Linked DNA regions of Caenorhabditis elegans. The protein of the gene in region 1 interacts with the protein of each later gene in a biochemical or structural test. Each region holds a gene or a part of one and is shown in the gene's direction. Other genes may lie near its edges. The genes, in order: dpy-19, mig-21 and unc-5.

Evidence for each region.
Region 2: of the proteins of dpy-19 (region 1) and mig-21, one has a biochemical effect on the other in vitro, tested with the Caenorhabditis elegans proteins (one study listed by BioGRID).
Region 3: of the proteins of dpy-19 (region 1) and unc-5, one has a biochemical effect on the other in vitro, tested with the Caenorhabditis elegans proteins (one study listed by BioGRID).

What each region holds. Positions count from the first base shown.
Region 1 is NC_003281.10:8,662,124-8,672,588, reverse strand, and holds the start of dpy-19 (C-mannosyltransferase dpy-19), read left to right. Parts: upstream 1-5,106; 5' UTR 5,107-5,113; coding exon 5,114-5,216; intron 5,217-5,223; exon of another isoform or gene 5,224-5,708; coding exon of another isoform or gene 5,709-5,792; intron 5,793-5,908; coding exon of another isoform or gene 5,909-6,002; intron 6,003-6,043; coding exon of another isoform or gene 6,044-6,150; intron 6,151-6,208; coding exon of another isoform or gene 6,209-6,428; intron 6,429-6,473; coding exon of another isoform or gene 6,474-6,577; intron 6,578-6,692; coding exon of another isoform or gene 6,693-7,028; intron 7,029-7,126; coding exon of another isoform or gene 7,127-7,243; exon of another isoform or gene 7,244-7,251; intron 7,252-9,753; coding exon 9,754-9,866; intron 9,867-9,914; coding exon 9,915-10,052; intron 10,053-10,137; exon of another isoform or gene 10,138-10,190; intron 10,191-10,195; coding exon 10,196-10,407; intron 10,408-10,455; coding exon 10,456-10,465. Other genes in the region: pgl-2 (P granule abnormality protein 2), read left to right, coding at 1,069-1,392, 1,760-1,933; F22B7.1 (uncharacterized protein), read right to left, coding at 5,709-5,792, 5,909-6,002, 6,044-6,150, 6,209-6,428, 6,474-6,577, 6,693-7,028, 7,127-7,243. UniProt on the Caenorhabditis elegans protein: C-mannosyltransferase that mediates C-mannosylation of tryptophan residues on target proteins such as unc-5 and mig-21. Mediates the attachment of alpha-mannose in C-C linkage to the C2 of the indole ring of tryptophan.
Region 2 is NC_003281.10:5,874,087-5,883,379, reverse strand, and holds mig-21 (Abnormal cell migration protein 21), read left to right. Parts: upstream 1-4,999; 5' UTR 5,000-5,127; coding exon 5,128-5,292; intron 5,293-5,341; coding exon 5,342-5,586; intron 5,587-5,630; coding exon 5,631-5,749; intron 5,750-5,805; coding exon 5,806-5,904; intron 5,905-6,046; coding exon 6,047-6,360; 3' UTR 6,361-6,433; downstream 6,434-9,293. Other genes in the region: F01F1.14 (uncharacterized protein), read left to right, coding at 457-589, 637-690, 735-949; hpo-10 (SAC3/GANP/THP3 conserved domain-containing protein), read right to left, coding at 1,208-1,438, 1,490-1,951, 2,006-2,149, 2,196-2,327, 2,451-2,832, 2,902-3,401, 3,451-3,535, 3,765-3,769; F01F1.2 (COX assembly mitochondrial protein), read right to left, coding at 4,164-4,305, 4,351-4,444, 4,516-4,620, 4,677-4,821; aldo-2 (Fructose-bisphosphate aldolase 2), read left to right, coding at 7,059-7,100, 7,160-7,241, 7,579-8,330, 8,382-8,606; F01F1.3 (MIF4G domain-containing protein), read right to left, coding at 8,778-8,936, 8,980-9,126, 9,176-9,290. UniProt on the Caenorhabditis elegans protein: Required for determination of left/right asymmetry in nervous system. Acts together with unc-40 to control an initial left-right asymmetric polarization of the Q neuroblasts.
Region 3 is NC_003282.8:5,522,250-5,532,601, reverse strand, and holds the start of unc-5 (Netrin receptor unc-5), read left to right. Parts: upstream 1-4,263; coding exon 4,264-4,345; intron 4,346-4,676; exon of another isoform or gene 4,677-4,697; intron 4,698-4,961; exon of another isoform or gene 4,962-4,982; intron 4,983-5,899; exon of another isoform or gene 5,900-5,920; intron 5,921-6,232; exon of another isoform or gene 6,233-6,253; intron 6,254-6,694; exon of another isoform or gene 6,695-6,715; intron 6,716-7,730; exon of another isoform or gene 7,731-7,754; intron 7,755-7,816; exon of another isoform or gene 7,817-7,837; intron 7,838-8,309; exon of another isoform or gene 8,310-8,331; intron 8,332-8,788; exon of another isoform or gene 8,789-8,809; intron 8,810-8,951; exon of another isoform or gene 8,952-8,972; intron 8,973-9,186; exon of another isoform or gene 9,187-9,207; intron 9,208-9,444; exon of another isoform or gene 9,445-9,465; intron 9,466-9,770; exon of another isoform or gene 9,771-9,791; intron 9,792-10,271; exon of another isoform or gene 10,272-10,292; intron 10,293-10,347; exon of another isoform or gene 10,348-10,352. UniProt on the Caenorhabditis elegans protein: Receptor for netrin (unc-6) required for axon guidance. Mediates axon repulsion of neuronal growth cones in the developing nervous system upon ligand binding.

The sequences.
Region 1 (10,465 bases):
CTGGTTAAAACCAACCTGCTTCACAGCAACCTTCACCAGCCTTCCACCTCTCTTGAACTTCATAACTCCGGAGGAAACTTCACCAAAAGCACCTTCGCCTAGTTTCTTCTCAATCACGATATTGCCATGATCTAACTCCCAGAATTGTCTGCGCACAGGATGCAAAATCTTGCACGCTTCGAGAATCTCCGTGCGACTCTTCTGATAGTGGCTGAGCATTTGTTGAATCGTGTTGAACGACATATTGTTGTTCACAAAATATTTGTTCTCTACAGAATTGATAACAAAGTGCTTCACCGAACTGTTCTCATCGAGCTTATTGTTGAACATGACGCTCAGAATGTAGGAGCGAGGCTCGCCGGGCTTTGGATCCGACAGTCTGACCACGTAGTCGCCATTATTGTCAAGGAGCTGGAAGACATCTTCTCGTTGGATCAATCCATGGAAGTAGGCTTCTTTCTCGATTGTTGGAGTGGGCGTTTCGTTCGAACTGCAAAACAAATATTTCAGCGGCTTCAAAGAGCTCAGGGTATTAGCTCAGAATTTTTGCCTACTTTAAGCCTGCCTAACTGCTCACCTTATGCTTACCCCCGTGCCTACTTCGCGCCTTCCTCATGCCTACCCTAGTACTGCAAACTTTCTTATCTCAAATTTTCCTCATATGCATGCCTACCCGCCTACCCCTGCCTAAATTGTCCTGCTATAGCGATGCGAACGTAGCCGACATCTCACTGGGTTTCAGCAAAGATGTCGGCTGCACCACATTTTCCCTCGACACACACACACACTCCCCAACTTACAGAGAATTAATTGACATTTAATGCAACGATGAAATTAATGGTTTTTACAATTCTGACGAGTGTCAGTTATACAAAAATGTGAAATAAATTGTTTTTTGATAAAATCGATTTTTTTTTTGAAATTTTTTCCCACGCTGCAAAATGTAAATTTTTATAAGAATCTAACCTCAACAACGTGAAAATTTAATTATTTTTCAGACTATTCCTAATATTTTAAAGCAACGTTACTTTTAATACGAAAAAAAAAATACATAATTCATATTTTCAGATTCCTGGGAGTCAAGTTTCGAACGATGTGATTTCTGGAAAAGTTGAAAATGCTATTTCATGCGCAATTTGGATCGTGAAAACATTTGGAACCGAAGGCTCTAGAGACTCAATCGAAAAACTTCCATGGTTCGATAGTTCGGTGGAATTGACAGAATTGATAAATTCCATTGAAATTGCTGTAACTTCAGTGGAAGTTGAAGACCAGACAGTCAACTTCAGAAAAATCCCACAAAAAGATTGGTTGGATGGAAATTTGCAGAAAGCATTAAAAACGGAGCCAACTTCTGAAAAATTCGGAATTTCGAATTCACTCAAAATTAAGGTAATTATCTGAAAAATTCATCCTTCTGAAGTCGACGTAAAACAACCCCAGATCCATGGGTCTCGTTAGGTATTTGGCGGCAAAATCTTAATATCATAAAAAAAGATGTTTAGAAAATCAATTTCTACATAAAAAACTATTGCAAACGGCGGATAACATTAGAAAACAGACGAAAAATGCTTGAAAATTCGTTAAATCTGCAAAACGAATTGAAAACGTTTAAATTTACAGCTTCGGCCCCAAATACCTAACGAGTCCCGTGATTCGGGGGCGGAGCGTTGTTTTGGAAAAGTCGCATTTTTCTGCGTTCCCATAAAAGCTAGGAAAGTGTTAGAAAATTTTTTAAATAATAATATAATTTTTCCAGGACGAAAATCAAAGAAATCAGATTCGGGGATTCAAAGATAATTCCAAGGAACCAAATGCCAAAGTTTCTGCAAGATTTGGCTCGAAATTCCAAAGAGTGGATTCTAGTACCAAGAGACGTCTTTTCGGTGGAGTAGGAGTTGGAGAACCACGTAATTGTAGAGGATTCCTTTAATTGATTATGCATATTTTTAATCGTATTTTTTTAATTAGCATTTTTTAGCGTATCTTTCCTGCTTTTTTGTTATTGTTGTTAAATTTAATTCACAGATAAAGTTTCAGTTACATATCAATTGCTTTGAACATTTTTATTTGGAAATAAAAACGAAAGTTTCGCACAAATATCCGTCCAAATATGCCTGACTCGTTCTAATCCATTCGGTGTAAACTGAGAAAGTGCCGAATAATATGAGAAACCATTTTCATCGAAATGCCTAATAGTTTTCGAAGAATTATTATAAAATACATTATTTCACTAGTTGAGCATTTCTTCTTCTTGCTTGCTCATAGTTTTCTTGTTTTATCAGTAGCTTCTGAAAACTAAAGCCTATGAATTTAATTCTAATTCAATTAATGCACAGAAGATTCCACACTTCTTAATTTCAAAATTAACAACGAACTATAACGCAGACGCGAAAAATTGTCATTTTCGCGCCAAAAATACGGAGCCCGGTCTCGACACGACCAATTTTCTTTTAATGCAAAAAATATGTGCGCCTTTAAAGAGTACTGTAGCTTCCAACTTTTGTTGCTGCGGGATTTTCAGTGATTTTCCTATTTTTCATTGTTTCTACGTGTTTTATTTTAGTTTTCAATAAAGAAATCAATTTTGTTGAAAACTATGAAAAATAGATGAAAATTCCGCAGTAACAAAAGTTGGGACCTACAGTACACCGAATAAATATTTCAATAAATATTTATCTACAATTAGAATTTGAGCACTTTTGTGAAGAAGGACGATTGTTTGCTGGAATATATTAAAAAATAATAATATGTCTAATTGAATTGATATTTCTGTATTAAAGATGGATCATCTAAATTTGATTTTGGAAAAAGTCAAACAAATAACTATTGGGAACAAATATTCTTCCCAAGAACTCAAAACGTATCGTATAAAAACGAATAACTCCATCAATAATAAAAACGGCTCGAATGCATTTTTCCTCATTGGTCAACTCAATACAATCTTCATTTTCGGTTTGTTCTCACTTCAAAAAAAAACATCAACTTTTGTTCTCAGTAGAATCCTGAACAATAGAAGAGGTTTTTTCCATTTGGAACTTTTTTCCGAAGGAATCGAATATGCTTCGATTTTATCTGAAAATTTATCCAAAGAATATACGCCAAGAGATGGAAAATGTATTTTTAGTATGGAACATTCCAAAAAAAAACTATACAAATCAAATCAATTTTCCAACAATTGGAAATTTACCATTCCATATTTGACTGAAAATTTCGAAAAAAAAACCAAAATTGTTTGATTTTCACCAGCCTGAAAACTCGAACTGACGTTTTTATATTCGCACTATTTTCAGAGCCTGTAATTTCTTCAAAGGCGGATTTCACAGAGTTTTTGTAGTTTTAAGCTTGTCAAGTACTGAGCACTCTGCAGATCGTTTGGAAATTGAGAAAGTTTGAAAAAATTGAATTTTGTTGATCTCGATCTTTATCGGTTTTCCATTGTGGTATTTCCAAATTCCAGTCTTTGTTGTGTTTCAAAACATCATCCGCATCAACGCTTCTCCATCATTAAACCTAATTTTTTGAAATTACTTGAAGCACTCAAAACTCTCTAAAAATATCTCAATAGAAGAATAAAGCATAAATAAGTGTTGTTTCATTCAATTCTATCTCCTCCTTCTTTACTACAAGAAGAGGACAGATCTATTGTGTATTACTCTCTATCGGTATGTCTGCGTCTCTGTAAACCCTAGTACTATCTAACTGGCTACCTGTCTGACCGCCTGTCAAATGGATTGGATTCAATGTGTAGAGGAAGAGGATTCGGTTAATGTTTTACTCAAACTATCATGTTGTGTTCCCATATTTTTTTGAAATTTTAGTTTTCACTTCCAAAATATTTTAAATGCTCGTTGTATTTGCTTGTACTGTTTGCTGATTTGTTGAGTCATTTTTCTGGCTTTTCCCTGAACTCTTGGATATTTTTGAAACAAATCATAAATATATAAATCTTGAAACATTTCTCGAAATTTTTTAAAGAAATAACTTAACTTGTTTTAAATACATTTTTTTAAACTGTTAAACTGTTCCGGATTTGTTCGAAGTGTAAAAATCTACAATTTTTAATTTTGCAAAACCCTGCAAGTTTCCCCTTTCTAATTATATTTGTTCATACTATTTGCTAATTCCCTAATAGATTCCCTCTAAAATTTCAAATTGTCCGTGACTTCATTCTCTCTAAACAAAAATCTCTGAAAAAAGAAAAAGCGTCGGGTTCGAACAATTGAATTTCCTTTTTTTTCGTTGGGAAAGAGGTATCTCAAGCTGTGTTTATTTTCATGTAAATTGAGTATTTTTCTTTTGAAAAATGGGCAAAAAAATCGAAGTCTCTTGGTGAAACGCCTCGATGGAAAATCGTATAGCTTTTATGGTTTTTTTCTCAATAAACATAGTCTGTCTGTCTTCATAATCTCCTTTTTTCATGTTTAAAAACTAATTCCCACTATTTGAAATTGCTTTACCAAAAGTGCAAAGCCTTCAAAGTCAACTTAAATTATTTTCAGCTAGCAAATTGAAAAGTTCAACGTTTTATTTAATATTCTAGTAGATTATACATAGTTCAATTATGTTCTACCTACTTTTTATTTTTCTCTTGACATGCCTGCCTACTCACCAATCACCCATTTTTGCATTTTTTACTTTGGTGTTTGGTGTTTGCCTTTTCAATTCATTTGATAGTTCTTTTTTAAGTTTGAAAAAAAAACTTTTTGGCAGTAGGCATAGGTATAAATACCTCAAAAATCAGGTAAGAATTTTTTACCTACAGAATACCTGCCTACAAGACACGCTTCCCTTACCTACTTTATCGCAATTTTAATATCAAATTTTAGGTAAATGAAAAATTTAATATTTTCCCACCCCTATCCTTTTTGCTAGTTTCTATGTTTTCCTTCTATTTCTCATATATTTTCTCAACTCTAATCTCTATTCTAGAGAAATAACATATTTTCAGTCCTCACTAATTTTTTTTCACACTTTTTCTCCCTCTCTTTCTCTCTCTAAAACCTCTCCTTGACATTTTTCTGTGCTGTTAACTAATCAGAACGGATTTAGTATTTTTTTTTTTCGTTAATTGTTTTCTCAATTCTTACGCTGTTGTAATTCCAGACAAAAAATGGCAAAGAAACCCAAGAATTCGCCTGAAAAATCAAAATATTCTTCTGATACTTCTTCCTCATTATATTCGCAAACTTGGCTTGCTTCCGTTGTAATTATAGGTGAGTGAACAATGTTTTATTCAAACTAAAAACATGAAACAGGAAATTAAATTCAAAATACACGTAACAATAGAATGAGAGGAAGAGGGAACAAATATGCATTCAAAGTGGCAAGAGTTTGAGATTTTAAAGCTGGAGCAGCGTCAGTGGGGGATTTTTTTTTAATATTCATAAAAGTTTACGTGGCAAAATATCATAATAAACTTTTTGAAATGTTTAGATTCGGTAAATTGGCATGTCTTTGGAATATTTAGGTTTTCCAACCAAATAATGTACTGTTATGAAACACTTTTTAAAAAACCAATTTCCAAATACCAAAAGTATTGTTCACAAAAGCTGAGAATTCCCAGCTTCCGACAACGAATTTCGAAAAAAATTGGAAAAAAATGTTTCTACGCACCATATGAATAGTCAAAAAAAATATTCCGATGCCACTCCAACTTTAAATGAGACTGAAAACAAATGGAGGAAGAAGTCAAAAAGAGGGTTTTTCTAGAAATCATGATACTGGCCTCGTAGTGGGTCAAAGCAACGAGCAAATGTGTCATTCATTATGTCGAAGAAATGACGAATGTCCTGAAAGTTTAATATAGAAAGCTACAATTAAAAACAATTTAGAACTTTGCACCCATTAGCAGAATATCGAAAAATGCGTAAGAAAATTGACAAGAACTATCTAAAACATTGGTTACCTCTTGCTCTTCATGACTTCTTGACTCTATAACTGCTTTGTAATAATGTTTGAGTGAGCTCAGAACTCCGTTATCTCGAAGGCGTTGAAGAGCTCTAAAAATCTAACGTTTATCTATTCAATATAAATATCTTACTCCTCCTCAATGTCACTTCGCTCATCTAAAATAGCTTGTAGCGCTTTTGGTGGGCGATTTCTGTGCAACCATTCGTCGAGTTCACTGCTTTTCCGATTTTCGCCAAGCTGAAAATTAATTCGTTTTGGGGCTTTTGACATTTTTTAAATATCTAAATTGACTCACTCTTTCCCTAATAATTCCATCAACACTGTCAAACTTGTTCTCATAAGCAGCTAAATCCAAATCAATCCTTTGTTCAAAATTAAGCAATTCCAATGCGTGTCGAACACATTTTGGCTCCATTGCATAACATTCGTTTAATTTTTTCTTTCCATACATCCAAACACTCAGATTTTCCCATAATCTTGCCCAAATTGACATTTTCTCAGTTTCAGAAGATTTTCTGGAAAATAAACATAGTTTTTGATAGACGCTTGATGTTTGAAACCTTTGTGCAAAATACTGCTGAATGGCCATTTGATCAATTAGCGGCAGAAATGGACGTAATTGTTTCAACCAAACTGAACGGATTGCGTTGTATACGGAGGCATTCTAGAAATTTAGTTATAGAAGGAAAATTTGGTATTGTCATATTAAGGTTTTTTTTGAAAATAAAACATTTTAAAGATTAAAGAGAGATGATTTTCCATTGAAATGTCAAACTTACGTGATAACCATTCACCACATCTACAGTAATCTCATCAAAATGTTCCAAATTATCGATTGATTGTACCAAGGATTCATTGATTCTTCCTAAGACATTTTTCTCATTTCGATTCATTTTAACTTTTGAATCGATTACATATTTCAGTTTTTCATAAGTTTTATCTTTTACATAGGCTTTCAAAGTTTCTCTATCCTCTGTTGGTAGATCGAGTACAAATATGAAAAGTGGTAAATATGTCTCCAATAAATTGAATTTTGGTTTGTCACTTTCTTTTTCTTCGGAAGAAGGGTCATACATTGTTTGGTTATTGTTTAATAGTGTCGAATTGTCTTCTGCCTGAAAATTAAAACATAGAATACGGGAAAAGAAAACGAAGATGTGCCGAAAGTAGGCATGCATGCATTTCTGACATGGTAACATTGGCAAAAACCAACCAGAATAACTAGAACATCATCTTTTTCGGGAGGTTCCTTTCCACTTTGTTCCTCATCACTTTGTGCCAAACTCATCATAAATAAGAATAGGAGTAATAAAATTGCAGGCGTTTTCATTTTCCCTTAAAAAAAACTTTAAAAATATGAAAAATAAATAGGAAATCAGTGACATAATAGAAAAACAAGAAAATTCGGATGATGTTTGAAACTTTTGGAGAATCACACGAAAACTGGAAATTGAGAATTGAAGAAAGGACATGCGATGGCAAAAATAATTCAACCGAAATCCAATTATCATCTATTCAAACAAATTTCTGAGCGAAACATCACAAGACTTTTTTGTTCTGGAAGCTTGAAGGGAAAAAAGTGAACGCACGTGACATTAAATGCATCTGGAAATTGGAAGCAAGAGTTTATGCGGAGAGCAGATGAAAAAAAATTGACTTTTGTGAATAGAGCATGTGACTGGGTTTTGAGTAGAATGCGCTTTTAGGATGAATAAAAAGAAATGCAGAGTTTTTATAATTATATTTTGAGAATCTATTGGCTACATACCTGCGCACCTACGTGCCTGCCTACCACCTACTTTTTTAAGTTTAAGAACTTTTGTTAAACTTTTCTTGCAGGTGCACTTGCAAGGATATTGAAAAAAAAACTAGTGTAGGAAAAAGGCAGGCGTTGGACACTATGAAAGAAAACAGTGTTAAAATGTTGTATCTTCATAAGAAATTTTCGAGGAGTCACATTATGAAATTCGGTCTATTGGGATCATTTTGAAGATATTGAAGCAGAAGTCCAAAATTGCTACGCCCCATTTAAGAAATTAAATGATAGGTGCGCAATATAGGCACAAAGCAGATATTTATTTTTACTTGGAAGACTTCAAAAACGATTTTTTAATTGTTTTGAATATACGCTTTAAGATGAAACGGCCCTACCAAAACGAATAAATCAAAGGAACAAAAATAAATGAGATAATTAGTGATATTGACTTGAAATGATTCCTAGACTGAACGCTTCTATCATCTAAATCATTATGCCCACACTTCTTATTCTATTATCTATTTTCCCACATCATTACATTCATTCATCTCATCATTATCGGTCATTATCTAATTTCTCTGCGCCTCTTTATTAGAAATTATCACTGTCATACAGGCTTAGACAATATTAAAAGACACTATGTTTGAAGTGATATCCATTTTAATCAGAAAGTTTCCATTCAGTTTCGGGATGTGATTTCTCATACAAAATTGAAAAACCCAATTATTAGGTATACCTATAGGTTGCAAAGTTTTAGTAAAAATGTGAACAGTTAAGCTATTACAAACAGTAAGTAAAGTTCAAGTTGCTATTGCTCAATGAGCCTCTAATACAAACAAAAATGAAAGTGAGAACTGAGAGCAATATGTTTGAAAACTGGTTCTGCTCTTGCTCACACTTTGTGTATTGAACATTTTGACAGAAAATTTGTAGCCACCTGTATTACCAAAACTATTTGCTCACTTTGAATGCTTTTTTTTGGAAAAAATTCAAGTTTAGTGAGGTTATTTTTGAATATACTGTTATAGAATTGATCGTTTCAACATAAAATTTTAGAACTATTAGATTCGGCGAAATTATTAAAAAAGAGCATTTTTTCCAGACACTTTGAAGAAAGAATCGAAATTGAAATGATTATATCTGAAAAACGGAAACTTGCCAGAATTAATAATAACGCCTAATTGCTTGACCTGAAGCTTAATTAAAGTTTTTTTTAAATTTGAAATTCGCTCTTATAAAGAATGAACAATTTTTTAAAAAGTTTAAGATGTTTGACTGATTGTCGGATTCGTGTTTTGTTAGTTGAGCGTGCTTGCCAGATTAAAAAATAAGAAAATTATCTAAATCATATCATTTACTCTGTTACTTATGTTTCAAAACTTTAAATCTTGAAACATTGAACCTTAATCCTTAGATGCTCTCAATCTCTAAAAACTAGGGAACGAAACGTCAACAGAAACATCAACATATTCAACGAAACTTCCTGTGTTTGTGTCTCGTCACTGACGACGACACGGTTTGTTCAAAGTGTCTAAAGTCTCTCCGATTCATAAACTATTTCCACAAATGAACTGACATTTCGTCCCCAAAGTCGATAATTACAGAGAGAGGGGGAGGTAGAGAGGGACAGAGAGAGAGACCTCTCTCTCAAAACTGGATGTGTTTTGAATTGCAAAAAAAGGGAAATGGGAACAAAAGAGTAAAACTAGGAGAACCAATGAGGATTATTAAGAGCAATTGGGTGGGGAAACAAATTAAATACTTTTTTAAGAAAACTATGTTTTAATAGTAGTTATTTGAAATGGGGTGTCCATGTAGGGTTCAAAATGTCTGCCTGCTTACAACACCTACCTACTGACCTACCTGCAGATTTTTTGCTCTTCATTAAACTAGAGCCGTATCAATCTCTAAAGTGGTCCTGTTCCACCCGGATATGGCATGTGACCTGACAGAAAAATTCAGAAAATAATTAGTTGGCAGACAATCATGCAAGTTACAGAAATAGTCTTCTCGGATCTTTATCAAACTTGCGACAAATTATTTTACGCTCAAACGAATTTCAATACAGTTTTTTTTATTTTCAGGACTCCTCGTTGGATACATCAACTACCAACATGTCTACACATTATTCGAAAACGACAAACATTTCTCCCATTTGGCGGACTTTGAACGCGAGATGGCATATCGAACGGAAATGGTACAGTTTTCTTTAAAAATACAAATTCAAAATTTCTTGTTTTTTCAGGGTCTCTACTATTCATACTATAAAACAATAATCAATGCACCATCATTTCTTGAGGGTGTTCAGGAGATAACACATGATACTGTGACAGAACATGGACACGAGATTAACACACTAAATCGATTTAATTTATATCCAGAGGTGAGTCGCAAAGTTTTCACATTGTAATGTTTTCCGTCGGAAAAACCTTTGGCAAACTTCTAATTACCACAAGAATACATTCACCTGTATTACATTTTCTCTCAATTTCCTCCATACCTAAAATCCTTCCAAGCTTATTTTAGGTAATCCTTGCATTTCTGTACCGCCCATTCCGAGCATTTGCCAAATCAGCGAATTGGCAAATCGAACTATGCTGGCAAGTTAATCGAGGAGAACTTCGGCCTGTTGAAAGTTGTGAAGGAATTGGAAATCCTCATTATTTCTATATAACCGGAGTTTTCATTGTGGCTGGAACTGTAGCTTCATCCATTTTTTATTTGGGTGTTCTTGTTAGGTGAGCGACACAAAAATTATTACTTTTAACTAAATATATATATTACAGTGATTCAATA
Region 2 (9,293 bases), 2.8 Mb from region 1:
ATGTTTACAGTTGTATCTGTGGGTCTCGTCGCGAAAATCGTAACTAGGTTTTAGCGAATGCTTAATGTTTTATGGTTATTCCTGGCCTTCTCAGTATATTTTAGATTTTCATAAACTATTTTTTCTTTATCAAATGGGCAAATTTGTGAAATTTGAAGCTTGTAGCGATTACTGTAGCTGAGATCGTGGCGTGACCCCGTTAAGAACCACACTCAGAAAACGTTTACAGCCTTAGTTTTGACATGTGATGGAATTTTCTAGAAACAAAAACATTTTTCAGATTGCAAGATTCCGATTCCATTGTTCACATGAACTTCGTACATTCTGCACCCATTTCTACAAATTCTCTTCCTTCAAATGTTCGATCTTTTCTCTTCCAATATCATTCATAACCGGTCGTGTCTCAACTAAAAAGTACAAAATTTTGTTTTCCATCTAAATTCACATCCGATCAAAATGGGGTGGATCATTTCATTTCATCTCTTCAAATCAAAAAAAAAATATAAAAAGTGTGAAAACAGTCCAGAAAGTAATAAGAATCCTAAAAAGATGTCTACTTCTTCCAACTCCTTCCTTATCACTGTTATCGGTAACTTTTCCATCATTCAATCACAAAATGATCAACTTCTTTTCCAGCATTCTTCGTCATGATTAATGTAGTTGTTACACTTCCGCTCATTGGAATTCGAGGTATTTAAATTGAAATTGTATTGTTAAATTCTTGAAATTTCTAGATGATCTCTCAACCGAATTCGTTGGTATTGGCCTCCGTGACGATGTGGCACTTCCCATACAAAAGCGCCGAGTTTCTCAAGAATCCCAATTCTGTGCTACACATCGAGAATCATATGATACCTACTGCAACAACTTTTGGACAGATCGTCCACAACGACTTCAAACCGCTTTGTTCACATTTTGCCCTGGATATGAAAACAAATGCCTTCACTAATTACTATTTTACATTTTTATTCTTAACACGCATGACTGCCTGAAAATCTCAGTTTCAACAATGGAAAACATATTTTACGGTTACAAAAACAAATAAATGTTATAGAGCTCTATTCTAATTTTGCATTTTTAAACATTTTACCAGCAACACAATTAAAAAAGTGGATATCAACAGTTAGTTGGCTACCGAAGAAGTATCACACAAGGATCGGGACGAGGGGATTGAGAATGGGATGAAATTGTTAAAACAAAAAATTATTCAAATGTTTCTTGGGATTTTTGGATCAAATGTTCCTCCAACTTCGACATCAGTCCATTTCAGTTCCTCCTCGAGCCAATCAATAAGTGTCGACTCCTTCATACTCAGAAACTCCGCAATCAATTTGTACGTGATTGTTGGTCGGAAAGCTTTTGTGATAATTCCGAGTGCCTTCTTTCTCTCTCGATCAACAAATAAATCCATTATGTACGGGCACATTCGTGGAGCATTCTGCAAATTGGAATTTATAAAGAGTTAAAAATTGTCAAATTCACAACTTGCCTTAAAAAGCCTGAAGAACTTGACATAATTATTCATAGTCACAGCTTTTCGAACATTCAATGCAAATTCAACACAGTCATTCTCCTTCAATTCCGGCGTTAGCTCACGGAGCAGCGCGTTGATATCAATTTGATTGTCCATAGCAATGTAGTACAACAGACGATAAGCTACAAACTCTGCCTGATTCGCGCAATTCTCAATTTCCGAGTAGAGAAGTTTCAACTGCGACTGGCACTTGTTAAACTCTTCTCGATCCGCGTTTTCAAGCGAAATTCTAGCATTTATTTCATAGACTTCGACTGTAAACTCGTTGCGAATCACTTGAACCGTCAAGTCTTGGCGAATCGATCTCATTTGACTTGTCAGATAGGAATACTCTGCTCTCGCACGATATTTGTCACGTACATTTTGAAGAGAAAGGCGCAAAACTTCCAGTGGCCGAACCTCCGATGGATTTGGAGCCTGGAATAAGCTTGGGTTTAATGATGCTGAAAAATGAAACCTATATAAACTTACAGCTGTCAATCTGAAGAAGGATTTCTCAATATTCTGGCAAGTTCCACGAATCACTTGTCCTCGTCTGAAATAGTGCTGAGGCACACTCACAGATGGCTTCGAAACATTGTACAAAGTTTCGGCAAAACGACGAGCACGATCTTCCTGTAAATACTTCGAGAAAATGAAAAATTCAGTTAATCCAACTTACCCTCCGAGCCTCAGTATCCCCTCCAGCTACCTTCCAAGCATTCTTGACTTTTTGCGGAGTTTGTTGTTTCTGCAGTTTCTTAGCCGCCTTTCTCGCTGCCTTTTCAGCCTTTTTCTGAGCCTTTGTCTTTTTCTGAATGGAATTAGTCACATTTAGTAATTTTAAAGATCTATTATAAGTATGAATTTCAGCAGAACTACTCAAGTTTCCGTGCCCAAATACACCACCCAGTTCCCTATCTAATTTTATCGAAACCTGATTCATAGAAGAAAAGTGCATTTTCTCAAGGGGATCGCTATTGTCAGAATCAGAAGATGCCCCATCACTATCCCGACGAGCCCGTTTCATTTGTCCTCCACCACCAGCGGCACCGCTGTTAGACATTTCATCACTACGCCGTCGCGATGGCGACTTTTTTCTATTAAATCCATTAGCCTGATGTGGAAGCTTATTAGCTGGCGTCCACGCTGGAGCTAGCTCATAATTTTTCTCGTGGGGCAACGGTTCATTGTCCCAGTTGACCATGTGAGCATTGCCTGCGTTCAACATAGGGAAAAGTCTCTTCTGAAGGTATTCTTGAGTTTTTTGACGATCTTCGACAGTGTTCGCCGCCTCGAAAGCACGTTCCATGTACCGTCTGAAAAAATAGAATGTTGAATAATTTTGCAACAATAAAAACAAAGATGATAATTAATTGAAAACTTACTGGGCTGATGGAGGTGGTGGCTTGGCTGGTCCTGGAGCTGGAACACCGCGTCCTCTACCAACTCCCATCAATGGCTGTGGACCTCCGCCCTGCGGTACGAACGTGCTAGTTAGATGCGGAAATGCGGACGAATTATTCTTTCTGTTCAAGGCAAATGGCTGAAACTGCTGAGGTCTCTGTTGCTGATTCCAGTTGTTGGCTCCTCCGCCACGCCCTCTTCCGTACCCGTTATTCCAATTCTGTGGTGGTGGTGGTGGTGCATAATTAAAAGATGCTTGGTTATAAGCTGCTTGAGCAGTTGCATTCACCGCCGACTGTTGTGGTGGTGGTGGTGGGACAATCGGTCCGCTGCCCCACGTGGATGGATGAAAACCACCACCGAATTGACCGTAAGCGGATGGGGGATTTGGGAACGAAAACGAGTTGTTCATCCAAGAGTTCTGACCTGTATTGTTGTTACCATTCGATGCATTCAGTCCTTTCGACATTCCACCTTGAATCTGAAATATTACAAATTGAAACAACTGTTCATATGAAATATTTACAAACCTTCATTAATGCTTCATTCGCTTTTTTCCAAGCTTCGGAATTTGCTCCTGTCTCCATTGGCACTGGAATTGACATAACTTCTTCTCTGTAAAGAAAAAGAAGAACTGAAGGAGATTAGGAAAAATCAATAATATTCGACAAAAAAAGTTCACGTCGAAAAGTTAATTCCAAATTAGCATTTATTTAGTACTTTAGTTTGAAAAAATGGTGCTGCCTACTTTTTTAAATAGCAACTATTTAATTTTTAGTTATTTTTGTGCGAAACATATCGACTTCGAACATCACATTCAGAATTAAAAAAGAAAATAACGAACCCCATATCTGAAATAGAACAGACAGAAATAACTATTTAGCAGAAAATTTTCAATTTTGCGTACAACGTTAAAAGAGTAAAATCAATAAAGTTTAACGGACCAGCGTTTTCGTAGTTTACTGGCAACTAAACAGAGCGCGTATCGATTTTCAACGGAGCGTCGTTGCACTATTATATTCTCTGGCAAAAATAAAATGTAAAGTGAAAGAATAATTCATGAATTAACGAGTTTTTGGAAATAATATTTTTAGAATGAAGAAATGGTAAGAATATGAGATAATATATAGTGACTCGAACACTTGACAATAATAACTATAAAAAGTATAAAAACCAGAAGAAATGGATTGTATTTGATTCTACAAACAAGGAAACAATTAACTATGAAAAACAAGAAAGAATTCTACTTTTGCTCATTTGTCTTCTTCCAATCCCGAAACTCTTCAATTTTCCGTTGCTGCGATGTCATTCCAGTAGCTCGAGCTGCCGATCGTTCCGCAATGTACTCGTCAGTCATTTTTGCTCGGAAGGCTGGATCGTGGAATCTTAATATGTTCTTGTTATTTTGAGATACATTAAAATAACCAGACTTTTCATATTTGCATCGATTAAAGAGTTCTAGAGCTGGTTTACACGTGTTCAAGCCAGAAACAGCACCGTCGGTTCGAAAGCAAGTGATGAGTCCTGAAATTGTTGTAGAAATAGAACTCTATATAATCGTGCTTTTATTTTTATGATTTCAATAATTCACAAACCTAAATAAGATTCGTTGCAATCCACTCTTTCGATTTGGGTATTCATTCTATTCGGAATAATCACATCTGCCTCGATTTTCCTCAAAGTCCGATCTTCTGGATCACCTGAAAACAAATATTGTATTTAAATGGTAAAAACCGCAAGCTGATTTAAAAATTACCTAATCCATGTGGTCCTCCAGCTGAATAATGTGGCATAATATTTTTCTTGACACGATATTTCTTCCCGGTCTTCTCGTCTGTCACAATTTCGCCTTCCTTTAAGGTTTCCAGGTTATCAGTGATATTCACTTTATTTTCCGTCATTCTAGCTGTAAATTTGAAAATTTATAAATGGAAATTTCAAGAGAAATCATGAGATTTACTAGTTTTAAAAGTTAAAATGATAGCGCCCGAGAAACAAAAAAAAAAGATCTTTGCCGTCTCTTATCTCTCACGCGTAGCAATGGAGCGCGACTCTAACACTGCAAAAAGTGAAATTTTCTACAGTAACCCTGCCATCTGGCGACATCTGAAAGATGGAAAAGGAGAAGGAATGTCGAAATCTGAAAAGAGAAACAAACATGGGTGTAGAAATTTCACTTATTCAGTAAGAACTGAGTTTCATAGAAAATGATTGTCATGGTTTTGTTTAATATCTTCGTTTTCGTCAATTTCTCATATTCGTTGGCTAATTTAAATGATTCTAGCATTTTATATTCTCAAGTTGTCTCTAATAAGTGTGCATCTAATAATGGTATATTCTGTGAATGTTCGAAACAAGGCGGAGAAATTAAGGTTCTACATTCAAAAAGATAAAAACCAATTCAATAAAATTTTGATGCAGATTTGGAATTGCATCCGTCCAGGAGGTTGGTCAACGTGGTCAAAATGGTCGAAATGTAGAGAAGGTATCCGAAAAAGAAGACGAACGTGTAATAATCCTTTACCAATTGGTACCACTTGTTCTGGCCAGAAAGTTGAGAAGCAATCTTGTGCAATTTCTTCAAATGTACCGGAGTATCTTTTTGGATCCTGGACATCCTGGAATCCATGGTCTCGATGCGATTGTGATCGTAGCCTGAGGATACGGTAGGTTCAAACAATTGGGAAATGTACAGTAACCCAAGTTTCAGAACTCGGCACTGCAAAGGTAATTCCTGCGAGGGATGTGACAAGGATTACGAAGATTGCCGCCCAGATGAGTGTCCAATTAGTAAAAAATGGTCCGAATGGACAGATTGGGTGAATTATGGTATGGGTCTCATTACGCTGAAATATATCAACAAATTTGTAATGATTTAATTTCAGGAATTGAGCAAGTACGGTTTTCAGCCTGGTGTTCGTCATCAAACGTGGCGAATACTGAAGTGGGAATACGGAAGGAGACTCAAGACTCAATGAAGCATGGTATTAATTTTAGTTAAAAAATTTCGAAGAACCATAACTTGAAGACTAAATTTGAAAGTTTCAAAGTACAATGTCCACTTTACTGTCTAAATTTTTGTGTTAGTTAACAACATGATAAAAAATTAATGAGAATAATTTCCAGCCAACTGGTCTGAATGGCATATGCATCCAGGAGTTGCATACCGTTATCGTCTTCTTCACAACTCTTCTATTTCCATCGAACACCATCTCTTATCAAGATTCACGTCATCATGTCTTCCCTTGCATTTTGCAATTCCAATATTTTGTTTTTGTATTCTCACGGGTTTCCTTCTTCAAAATATTATTTATTGTGTTGTGAATCGTTTTAAAAGGAGATTCATAAGATTGAATTATTCGTATGATTCAAATCCACGTGACTATCCTTCTCATTTGATTCGTTCTCCGGGTTCCCCGAAAGATGAAAGTTTTTGGTGAATTTCGGATGCTTTCGAGAACAGTCTCTGTCTGCCCATTTCTCACGCCACGATAATAAAAGTTATCATTGATCTGTACAACGAATACTCTGAGTGAGGTGTTTTTAATTCTTATCACTTCAACTCTTCAGTTTTAAGACTGAAATTCTAAAGAAAAAACATCAGAATTAATTATACTTTTAAAGAGAGGCGTACTTTCGCAAATGGGTCTCGCAGCGCAAGCCAACGACTAACAACGACAATACCGCACATTTAAATTCAATTTTAGGATTCATTTTTTCATTTCCAAATTTTTCGGTTTTTTCTATAAGAAAACAGCCGAAAACTTAAGAAAATAATTCCTGCACAATTGTGAAAAATTGTTTTTAAAAAATTGTGCACAATTTTATTAATTAAAAAAAAATTTTTGTGTAGTTTTTTTAAGGGATTTATCTACTTTATCTATAGATTAATTTGCCGAATTGACATACTCTTTAAAAATAGGCCTCAAAACTTTCTATCTCGGAATTTTTCGATCATCCTAAAGTAGTACAAGAATATCACGTTTCAGTTCTCTGCGCGCCAACAATATTTGGCGCCGCCCGTTCGCCGTCTCCCGTTTTTGCGCACACTCTCGGCGACTGTACTGATTCTCTACACTCTCCGCCTCCCCATTTTCTCGACCGTCCATTTCATTTCGCATCACTTCTATTTTTCACGATGGCAACTGTCGGAGGCGCTTTCAAGGACTCTCTTACCCAGGTTTGTTGATCATTCATCATTTTGTAATGCCCTTCTTAGTTTAATTGTTGTATTTCTAGGCTCAAAAAGACGAGCTTCACCAAATCGCTCTCAAAATTGTTCAAGATGGAAAGGGAATCCTCGCCGCCGATGAATCCACTGGTGAGCTATTGGAAAAATTCTTCTAGAACTAGAAAATCGAGATTCTTATCTTCTCACAATCATCTTTTGACAATTTTTCTATTCAATAAGAATTAGCGACTTATGTTCAGAAGTTCAAAAAATAAATTTTCACGGTCTAGCGATCATATTCTGTGCCCTCTATCGCCTCCAATTTTCGATGTTTATGTTGTTGAAATTGGAGATGTTGATGCATTGATAGTGCGAGTGATAGATAAAATTGTAGATAGAAAGAAAGATAACATGTAGAAATGATATTGGGGAAGACCGATTTCTTCTTTTTTATAATGCAGCACATCGTGACCCGATCAATTTGCAGGCACAATCGGAAAGCGTCTTGATGCCATCAACCTCGAAAACAACGAGACAAATCGTCAGAAGTATCGTCAACTCCTGTTCACTACTCCAAATCTCAACCAGCACATCTCCGGAGTGATTCTCTACGAGGAGACATTCCATCAAAGCACCGATAAGGGAGAGAAGTTCACCGATCTTCTCATCAAGCAAGGAATCGTCCCAGGAATCAAGCTCGATCTCGGAGTTGTCCCATTGGCTGGAACCATTGGAGAGGGAACCACCCAGGGGCTCGACAAGCTTGCCGAACGTGCCGCTGCTTTCAAGAAGGGAGGATGTGGATTCGCCAAATGGCGTTGTGTTCTCAACATCGGAACTCACACCCCATCTCACCTCGGAATGCTCGAGAACGCCAATGTGCTAGCCAGATACGCTTCTATCTGCCAGGCCAACGGACTTGTTCCAATTGTCGAGCCAGAGGTTCTCTGCGACGGAGAACATGATTTGGCTCGTGCCCAGAAGGTTACTGAGCAAGTTCTTGCCTTTGTGTACAAGGCTCTTGCTGATCATCACGTGTATCTCGAAGGAACTCTTCTCAAGCCAAACATGGTTACTCCAGGACAATCGAGCGCGTCGAAAGCTTCACACGAGGCAATTGGATTGGCTACCGTAACCGCCTTGAGACGCGGAGTTCCAGCTGCAGTTCCAGGAATCACTTTCCTGTCTGGAGGGCAATCCGAACTTGATGCCACTGCTAACCTCAATGCTATTAACTCGGTAAATTTAAACGAAATGGAATAACCTTATATCACTCATTTCTATTTACAGGTTCAACTCGGAAAGCCATGGAAGCTCACCTTCTCTTATGGACGTGCTCTTCAAGCTTCTGTGCTCAAGGCATGGGGCGGAAAAGACGAGAACATCGCTGCCGCTCAGAAGACACTCCTTCACCGTTCCAAGGCCAATGGAGATGCATCTCTCGGAAAGTACGCCGGAGAAGACGCAGCTGGAGCCGCCGCCGAGTCTCTCTTCGTTGCCAAGCATTCCTATTAAGCGATGACGCATAACTTCCTGTGAATAGATTTTTCGCAACCTCGTCCCCAAGATTGTATAATTTCACTGACCCCGAAATGAAGTTTTATTTCACCGAAATTTTATATTTTATGAAACCCGAAAACTAAAAATCACCAAAAGTGGGAATATTAAGGATCTACTTCAATATATTCAAACAATGCTCTCTTTGCTTCCGAACTCTTGCTTGCTGATATCATTCTTCCGAAGTGGTGTCTGATCAACAATCGATAGCTTCCCTTCTGCACTCAAAGTGAGAAGACATTCAGGAATATTCAGCTCACTCCATCCAAATGCCCAAAGATCATACACCTAAAATCAAATAATCAATTGATCATTCTCTGATCTTCCTCACATGAATGAATATTTGACGGACATGTTTAGTGACAATTGGATCTTCACTGATAAGTTTATGACGCAATTTTACAATGATTCGTTCGACGAGATATGAATTCAAATCGTGAAGAACGCGACCATTCTCGCTGAGAAGTATCCCGGCTGTCTGAAATTAAAAAATTCTAGATTTTTCAGAAAAATGTTTCTGTGGAAACCTCTAGATCTTCGGTATCTGGAGCATCATCAATAAGTGCATCCAAAGATGAGAACATTGGTTTTATGAAGCATTTTGACACACATTCGTCCATTTTCACATATACTGGATACATTCTG
Region 3 (10,352 bases), on another chromosome or scaffold:
TATGTTTTTCCAAATTCCAAAAAAAAATACCGTTTCAAGTTTCTTGGAAAATAATTGAACTGGCTTATTTTTTACAATCTCGCGAAGTGAATTATTTTAATTTAAAAATGTATCATATGTTAGAGAATAATCAAGCCATTTTTGAGTTTAAAGCATGGTTTATAGGAGTCAAATTGCTACGAGCTAAAAATTCGGCTTTGGATTTTCGGCCTGAATTTATTAATGATGTGGGTAATAATCGGTTACATGTGCCTTTAATGTCTATGTTTTACCAAATTCCAAAAATTTTGAAAGAAGTTTTTTTTACCGTTTCAAGTTTTTTAAAAAATGATTGAGCATTATATTATGATTAATTGGTGAATCGGTCCCGGTTTATTAATATTTATTGAGGAAGTTGAAACAAATTTCAACTCGTTTCAGTTTTTTGTTCACAATTTCTAATTTTTGTATCTTTCTTGAGGTTTTCTTCTATATTTTGGCATTAGGCACGCGTGTAGTCATGAGGCATTTGTAGGCCACCTTGTAGGCTAAGGATTTTCGGTACTTGTGTATTATCGGAACGCAAATTAAAATTAAGCTAAATCTAAGTTCTTTCTCCATTTTAATAAAATATGTTTTGATGAAACATGCAGCTTATCTGTGTAAGCTTAAGGAAGCCTAAAAATAGAAAACAAAAAACTTCACTCGGTGCTATGTTTAAAATATTTAAAAATTTGATTTAAAATTTCGTTCCGATAATACACAAGAACCTTAAATCTCTACGTTTTACAAAACTCTGAAAACTTTTGGAAAAATGTTTTACTGTTTCAAATTTTCTTCAAAATAATTGAGCAAACTAGTACTATTATTATTGCGTCATTTGATTTTGAGAATTATAAATCTAGAATTTTGAAACTAATTCCATCGTTTTCTTCCACAATTTTTTTCCTTCAATTTCTGTATTATTTGCAAAGCACAGGGTTTTATGAATTCTAAATTTCAACTAAAAATCTGTCACAAACTCTTGAGTTATTTACAACCCAAACATTTTTCTAACCATTTGTTCCAATCTTCTTCTTTTTTATATTTTGTATCTCATCACCTGGAGCCAAGAAGAACTCACCTGTGAAGATGAAAGCTGATGGAGGCGGAGCCTGAAGAAGTGATCCCAGGTGATAAGAGAGTGAGATGGAGAGTCCCACAAAAGATTGACATTTTCTAAAGATTTGTGGAAAATAACAAGAAAAATCGGTCGAAATTTGTTTGTTTATGTTTTCAGTTTCATTCCTTTTTTATGTGAAACTTTTTTTCAAAAAAAAATTGCTGTTTCATGTTTTCTATTTCTTGTTTTCTCCGAAATTAGCAGTGCTGTGTTAGATATTTACGTTACTGATTAACTGATAACTGGAAATTATATGCATCTTCCTACCACCATCTAGTGATAAGAAATTGGAAACGCTCTTTTGAAACATTTTATGTTCCATAATAACTTGCCAACTTAATGACCAATTTGGCAGACAAGCGTGCTGAAATTGCTTTATTTTAAGAGATATCAAATTTAAGGAGACAGTTTATATAGTAGTGTTGTAGAAAAAATAGAAAAAAGAAGGGTGTGAGTACTACTGAAAATTTGATGGGAAATCGAATCACTTGTTGTCTCTTTTTTTTGGGGGGACAATTTTATTTGAAAGAAATTCGTGTTTTTTTTCTCTGTTGCAGTTTTATTTCATAGTTTTGCTATTTTTATATTCGCCGTTATGAATTTAATTGTGAGATCATTTTCCCTTTCCTAAATTATCCCTAAAATTATTCCTAAATTATTTGCCAAAAAAATTAAAAGAATATTAAAACTGTGTGAAGCGGCTAAATTTTCGAATTTCAACATTTTGAAAATAATTTTTTTTTATTTTCGGAGTTAAATGTTTTTATGTACTTTTTGACCTGTTAGACCAATTTTCTTTAAAATCTTAATAAACCCTAATACACCGATTTCAAAAATCAAAAGAATACAATTCAATTTAAATTTCTTTTTAATTTTCTGATACCTTTTCAAATTATATTTAAAAAAAATATATTTTATATCTGCTCAAGTATTAATTTTAAGTTTATACAAGCGTGTAAGTACGTTACCAATAAAAATGTTTGAATCATTTTTTCAATTCAAAATTTAACTTTTTGTTTTCTACTTGAAAAATCAATTATTGCAGTTTTACAATGCTTTCAAATATCAGCCTAACTTCCGATATACCATTGTTACTGCTATGCTTTTCTTGATTACATTTTTTTTCTTTATATTCATTGTATTTTCAAATCTGCAAAACTTGACAAAATAGAAGCGAAAACTTTCTTGTATTATTTTTTTTGAAACAAGTGCAAAACAGTAGTCCAAATATTTGTTATCTTATCTTGTTTTTTTTTATTTTGTCAAATGTTTTTGTTCAAACCTCTCAAATAATTTTTAAGACACCTATTATTCAAATTTGTAGTTTTTCCTTCCAACCCATGAAAACCTACAGTAACCCTTCAGGGAATCTCCCGCCTTTACCACGAGAATTTCTCTTTATTATGTTAATTTCAAGTTTTTGAGTTAGGCGGTACTCTTTTCATTCACTTGCTCAAATATTATATTTTCTCACAATTTCTCACATAATCTTGCTCTGCTTGACACATAGGACGATTAACATTGAAAGTTTAATAAAATTATAACATTTGACTTTGAAACAGTAATTTTTTTAAAAAAGAAATGTTCAGATGTCACTAACATTTCAAAAATCATGGTTTATTTATCAAAATAATGAAACAGGCTTTTACAGAAAAAATTGTTCTCTAGCTAACATCTCTAGTGAATAGTAAGTATTTTCAAAGACGACTTTTCTAGAATCTGCGTAACAATGGAATTCAAATTACCACTCCCCATATAATGATCTCTAAAAAATGTTTTTAGAAAAATTTTCCATTTTTTCAGATTCCATGCTTTGTTGTCTTAATTTCCACTATTTTCTATTCCTTCAGAATTCAATCACTGAAGATGAAGCACACATTTTTTTTACAGTTTCAATTGGATCTTTTGTGAATTAAGAGTATTTTTGTTTTATTGAATCCATTATTGTTATTGAGACAATAAAGCTTATGAGTTCCATGTAAGAAAAAGTTGGTCTGAATATTTATCAAATTCAAAATTCTTCAATAATTGAACGGGTATTATTCCAATTCTAATACAACTGTGAAATTATATAAAATTCATCAAAACTATGAAACATGTTTTTACTGGATCAAATTTTCTCTGGATGATTTTTTTTCATCAAAATCAATTTTTTCTGTATCCTGATTATATTCAAACTAAACCAAAGTGTGCAAATTGAAGAAAAAAAATCAACTCCCTTTTTTTAAGTTCGTTTAAAATTCCAATAACCTCCTATTTGTTTGAGAATTTAGTTTCTTGAAGCACAAAATATTGTTACAGTTTCAGTAAGGCTTCTTTTAAATTCAGATTTTTCTCCGACATTGCCTCGTATGATACCTTTGTATTTAATCCGAAAACAAATTCTTGAGTGTTCTATGATTGTAAAAAAGTCAAATAAGTTTTCTATGAGAAAATACAAAAATGTCTCTGTAGGTGAAGTGTAATAACATTGCAAACAGATTTTTACAGTTTTTTGAGCAGCAAGGAGTTTACATATCAGCACGAAACATCACGAAAAAGTTATCTAAAACTTTTTTCTAGATAGTTGAAATTTATAAAATTTATTTGTCTGTTTCAGTAGATTCACTTTATTTAATGCAACTTCAAGACCATAGTCGTATGTCAACAATTGTAACCCCTATATTGTAATTAAATTAAAAAGTTGACTGTTTCACCATGTTTTTTTTCAAAATGTAATTTCAAATAAGTTTTGATGTTCTGTGGTTTTTCGTTCCATTTTTTAAATAAGAAATAATTTTGGATCATTGAAAAAAAATCAGTTTAGAAAGTGAAAAAAATCTATAATTACTAAGTTTACAGACAGAAAAGTTCACTATTTTTTCCAACCCAAATCTAGAAAACATTGAACTCTGTCTGTGGTCTGGTTGGTTGTCCAATTTGTATTTTTCGGACCTTTATCCTTTCTTTAACATCTGGTTTTTATTACAAGAATCGCCGCTCTCTCTTCCTCTTGTTCACATGTCTTCCGTGCTCACAAAAACCTTTTTTATTTCTTCACGGGACCTCCACAATTTTTTCATTTTGATTTTTATTCTTTCCATCAGTTTTTCCTTTTAATTTGAAAATTTGAAATTCTACAGATGGAGGACGACACGCCCGATGTGAGTTCAGATTCCAATGGAGATGCAGCATACAGCGATTATTTCTTGGACTACAAATCAAGTGAGTTTCTGATTTTTGAATTAATCCCTCTTATTTTATCCTACTTATAAAAAAGTTAAGGACTATCTTTTCTTTGTTTAGAAAATATGCCAATGGGTGCCCCCGGCAGGGGGTAACGGGGGTAAATATTAGGAAGTATTAAGAGGGGTCAGTGAATTGTTTGGTGTTAGTTTCAAGGAGCTATGACACTTTTTTTTGATGATTTGTCAGTAAATACTAGATTTGTTTTACTTTTGGTATCTGTATGGCCACGGTTTGAACATTTAAAAAATTTGAAAAAAATTACTGTTTCAGAAATTGTATAAGTATTTTAAATTTCCTTGTGATGTGATTGCGTTTGTTAAAAAAACATTTATAAAATGTTTATATAGTTTTGCAAAAAATTCTGAACTGTTTTCCCAAAGTAAAAATTCCCTCCGACGAGGAGGCAGACTCTCTCGCTTTGCAGACTGCCTTCTGTGTTTTTTTATAAAAACATTTCTTGAAACAATAACGTTACTTTAAAACTTACCTCAAAATTATCTTTGGTTGTAACATTTAAAAATCACGTGAATTTTGCAGAGATTCTATACATTTTCACAATTTTAATAAAGTCTGATCTATGAAACGTTATCAATCACACCTCTCCTTAAAATTGGGAATATAACGGAAAAGTTAACAAATTAAAGTTTAGTCAATATTTCTAAAAATTAACATTTCAAGAAAAATTTGATCAAGCAGTCATAATATACTCTAGCGCTTTCATTGATGGCAGGCAGGCGTTTTAATTTGCCTAACGTCTACCTGCCTTTTGAATATCCATTTTTATTTTGCTCTTTCATAAAATCAAACATGAGTTCACTAGCAGCCGACAGTATCTAGGTCTTGCGACTCATCATAAAACTATAAGTAGGCACAGAAACAGGCAGGCATTCTCTACCTTACTTCAGTTAGTCCCTTTCTCCAATTTCTTCCGTTTCCCACTCACTCATACATCATTGAACCTTTGAGAAGGTGTCCCATCTCCAAAGACACACGTGCCGCCACTTAATCCCAATTCTCGCCAGAACTCTTTTCACCACCACCACCAGTTGCTTCTTCTTCTTCTTCTGTTGTTTTTTTGTGTGTGTGCTCACCTCTTTCCCCTCTTCTCCAATCATCACCCATTCACACCACGGATGACTAGGTCCGATGATTTTTGCCGCCAAATGATATTGTTGTAACGTTTCCTGAGTCAATGATGATGACGACGTACCTGGAGGGGGGGGGGGGAGCGGTATTCTCTTTTTGATGGACCCCCCGTACATTCCCCCACAGGTATACCTTAATGTCAAATGTCAATCAGAACGAAAATATATGTTGTTGCTTTATTAAACTGTTGACATGTGTAAACAGAATATTTTACTTACGCATTAGTTTACTTTATGGCTCATAGATTCTCCAGTTGATAGATGTTGTAAAATTGGGAGAGGTTAATGGGTGAACGGGAGTGGTGTCACCTGTTTTCACATAGTTTGTATTATGACACTGGTTGCGATAAAATTTCAGTTTATAATCTGATAGTGAGGTCCAGCCGCGATAAAAATAAAGATTATACTAATAAATACGAGTATCGTTACAATATATATAAGATAGATGAAACTGTAAAAAATTTGAAATTTTTTTTTCAAATTTTCTTATCAAAATTTATATTCCCGCGATAGCACGGATTTTTAGAAGGACTATCTCACGAAGGCAAATTCTGAGTGCCTGCCTACCTTCAAGCTGGCCGCGCCTGGCTTTCTTATGCAGGATTTTTTAATTTATGGCGGAAATATACATACTTTGATGGTCTAGAAGTTTTAAACGTCATCCGGCGTTCGAAACAAAAGTGAAATATAAATTTAAAGCAACAATTATTTTAACTAGTACAAACCATTGGCGTATGAAATAGATGCAGTTATCTCTACAAAGTTTGAAAGTTATATGAAACTGTAATTTTTTTTTCTTAATTTTTCAAGTTTTCCCAACAAAATAGTTAAAAATTCTGTTTCCATGAGAGCATTAAATACCATATTTTCTTCCATTTTCTCCATTGTAGAATAGATTCGGGTGCAGATTATTCGAATCAGATCTACGATTAAAAAAAAATCAATTCAAAATTCAAATAATAAAAGAAAACAAAACTACTAACCTGTAAATTGGCAGTAGTCTATCTTTTGTGTGGTGCCTACACTGAAATTTTATTTTGTATTATGTTTTACATTGGTAGCGTTAAACACAGAAACAGAAGCAGCATCAATTATGAGAAAGTGTAAAAAATTGAAAATGTTAGCAATTATTTTACTGTTTCATATAATTTTCAAACATCGTAGAGATAATCGCATTTATTAACATCATGGTATCATCGTTCAAACAATTTATTCTTTCATTTTTGGTGATTTATCCAAAAGCTGTTAAATTCTCAAAATATTAATTTTCTTAAGTTTCCCCTAAATCAACTTGTTGTAAATTTTTTCAAGCTATCTGAAAATTTGCTAAAAATGGATGATAACTAGAAAAAATCGTTAGATTTAGCAGAATATTTTCCAGACGACTTTATTAAAACACTTGACCAACTTTTTGCGGTTAGAACTCAATCAATTTCCAGTATTCTTGGGAAAATTCAAAAAATGAAATTTCTGTTTTATGAAACTTTTAAATATTCGAAGACTTTATAACCTTGATTAGTCTAGATTTATCCTTTTCCAAAGTATTGTAAATGTTTCGAATATGACCATAAGAACCCCCAAATTCTATCTATTTCCGTCACAAAATCAAAAATCCTGGTGTTTCTGTGCGTCTCTCCGGTCTCTATCACTCTCTCGAATTATTGTGAAACGAGCAGTTGGTTTAGTTGGAAAAGAGCTTTCGGGTGTGATTTTTATGATGAATCGGCGGTTTTCTGGGGCGAAAAATAATCAAGAAAGTTGAGATGTATGGGAGGATGAAGTGGCAATTGGTGAGGAGGAGAAGCATGAAAAAACCAACAACTGAAAGACGTCAATGAGATGGAAAAGAGTGTAAAATTATTAGTGGAAACAATGATTGAGGTGGAAAATGAGTATATATATTTTTAGGGTTTTTGAGAAAACAGGGATAGTGGCAAACACTGGGAAAGTTTGGAGGAAGGGATCAGGAATTGAAATATACTACTCCCTACAGGTAATCAATTTTTTGTAGGCGTACGTAGGTAGAATAGCCAGCCTACATGGCGTTTACCGAAAAAAATTCAAGTTTTTTAAAATTCTTGAAATTTCAAGAAAAACTTTCTCATTCAACTTTTCCATATTTGGAATTACTTTTATCTTACGGAATTACATAAAAAAAGTCAAATTTTTATATGATTGTGTTGCTAAATTACAAAAAAAAAATTAATAAAGAAGTCGTTTGAATTTGATACAATGGAACAATAGAAAGTCAATTTTCTATGATTGATACAAGTTTATTGAAACAGTAATTTTTTGGAATTTCGGATAAACATGTTTAAAGTGATTAGTTTTACAAACTCACTGTTAAGTATACAATAAACATTGCTGAAACCGAAAAAAAAAGATGCTTTAAAGAATATAAGATTTGAAATTTTCTTCTGAGAATGGATATTTGAACTGCAAAAATGCAAAAACTTTTAAATTAAAAAAATAGGCCAACGAAAAAATGAATTACAGATAAAATCATTTGAAATTTCTGGCTTGATCTCATTAGCCCCGAGTTTAGTAAGTAGATTGTAATATTTTTAACATCGTTTATTTTTCTTCAAAAATGAGAACAATAAATTTAGAAACTAACAAAAGACATTTATTATCACAACACATATTTTCTGTTCAAAATTTCGAAACTCAAATTTTTCTCTTTCCAGATGTTTATAGGAGAACTAAAAAGTGTATTTGGAAAGTTGTTAGTTTGCTGTTAATTTTTTTATTCAGAAAACCAATAATTCTTAGAAGCTACAAATTATAATAAAGGCGCTGGCAAAAAAATCAATGGAATCAAATATATGAACTGTGAAACTTTTTTGATAACCTTTTGAAACAGTAAATTTTTGTACCGAATTTTTTTTGACAAGTCAAACCGCCAGTTTTAAAAAATCTAAAAATATGGGCATTCTTTTATTTGTTTCCTAAAAAATTCCTGGGATTCTGGATCAAAATTCCAAAAAATAACCAAAACAGCAAAACAGAATAAGTTATATTTGAAGAAACCTCGAAAAAATTCAATTATGATGCAGACTAAATTTGTACACCTCTTTTTCTAAATATAAATAATTTGAAACTGATAGGAATTAAAATATGTTATGTCTCCAAATTGCAGAAAAATAGTATCTTGGACTGAAGTCTGACAATTCAACTAAATTACCGAAATTCAAGATCATCTCTTAATGTCTTGATCAAAATTGCATGCTTGATAGGATTTGATATTGCATTCACATGATATACCTGTGAAACTCAAAAAGCGGATGGGACCCAATCAGAAAACCAGAAATTGTTAAATTTTCTCAAAAAGTTTTGAAACAGTAAATTTTTTCCAGTCACTTTTTTTTCGGAATGTCAAACCGCCCAATCTAAATAATGATGCTCATTCTCTCTATGTATCCTATAATTACCGTACATGAACCCAAATGTAACTGTCATTATTATATTCAAGACAATACGACATAAATAAGGAGACAGATACAGTAAGCGTGGTTACAACAGCAGATGTTGTTGCTTTTCTCTCCTCTTTTATTCGAATTACACCATATTTTACCTCTCTCTTCACATTTCTAATATGGTATGACAGAAGATCAGTGGTATCACAACGTTTTTTTGATTCGATTAAGATTATAGTAGTTCCGTTTCTCTGATTTCCCTCAATCTGCTGCTTCATCCTCTTGTTTTCTTTTTGAATCATTTTGGAAGAAGAAGAAACAGAAGAATTGACCTTCCTTCTTCTCAATTTTATTGTTTATAGACTCATCATGAGTATGTCCTTTTTAGAGGGCAAAAAGGAGCCAGCCGCGTCATTTCTCTATTTGATTTTTATTTCATTACGCATCATGTTTATGAGCGTTTTGAAAATGGAACGATTGTTTTAGAGATTCAAAAATATAGTTTTCTTTTCGGTCGGTAAATACAATGATAACAATAAGCGAATAACTTCATATGTTATTTTAAGCACCTACTGAAACACTGATTAATTTTCTTTGAATCAGTTAATCTATGTAAAGTAAGACAAAAGCAGATAATTTTAACCGATTAAAGTTTATTTGGAAGTTGTAATATTATACAAACGCTGTCCCAACCAGTTAAAGTTCGGAAAAATGCCAAAAATAATGTTCCCAGATTCTTACGACCTATTTATGTAATTGAATTCCTTTGAAATACTTCCAAATTCTAGTAAAGATTAAATTATTTTTTAGTTATGCTTATATTTCCCAGTTCCAGTTCTTTGTACCCAAATACTAGTACAATCGATGATTTCAAAAATTGCTCCACGGAAAATATAATCATGAAACAGTAATTGTTTAGTATGGTGTTTTTCAAAACTACATCACAATTTTCAATTGTGCAGAAGTCATTTAAAAACCCGACTGGGTATTACCGGTACAGAGAGTGTAGATAGTTAGAGAGTGACAGACATCCGGGACCCAATGGGGCGGGGCGCGCGGAAGAGACGATTTGTGTCGATTTACGAAATGATGACAACGAGGAAAATTTCGTAAATCGACACAAATCGTCTCTTTCGCGCGTCCCGCCCCATCGGGTCCCGGATGTTTGTCACTCTCTAACCATCTACACTCTCTGTACCGGTAATAGGAATTAGTGATCAACCTGATCTTTAAATATGGGTTAACTTGTATAAAAATATTTTTTGCTTTGTATAAATTTCTACGGACACCATTAGTCTTCTTCAGAGAGTAGTGAAAATAGTTTTTGAAAAATTTATTAACCACAAACTATATTTGGCTGCATCGGAAACACATAAAATTGTTCCTCTTAAAAGGAGAACATGAAACAATAACTATGTGGTT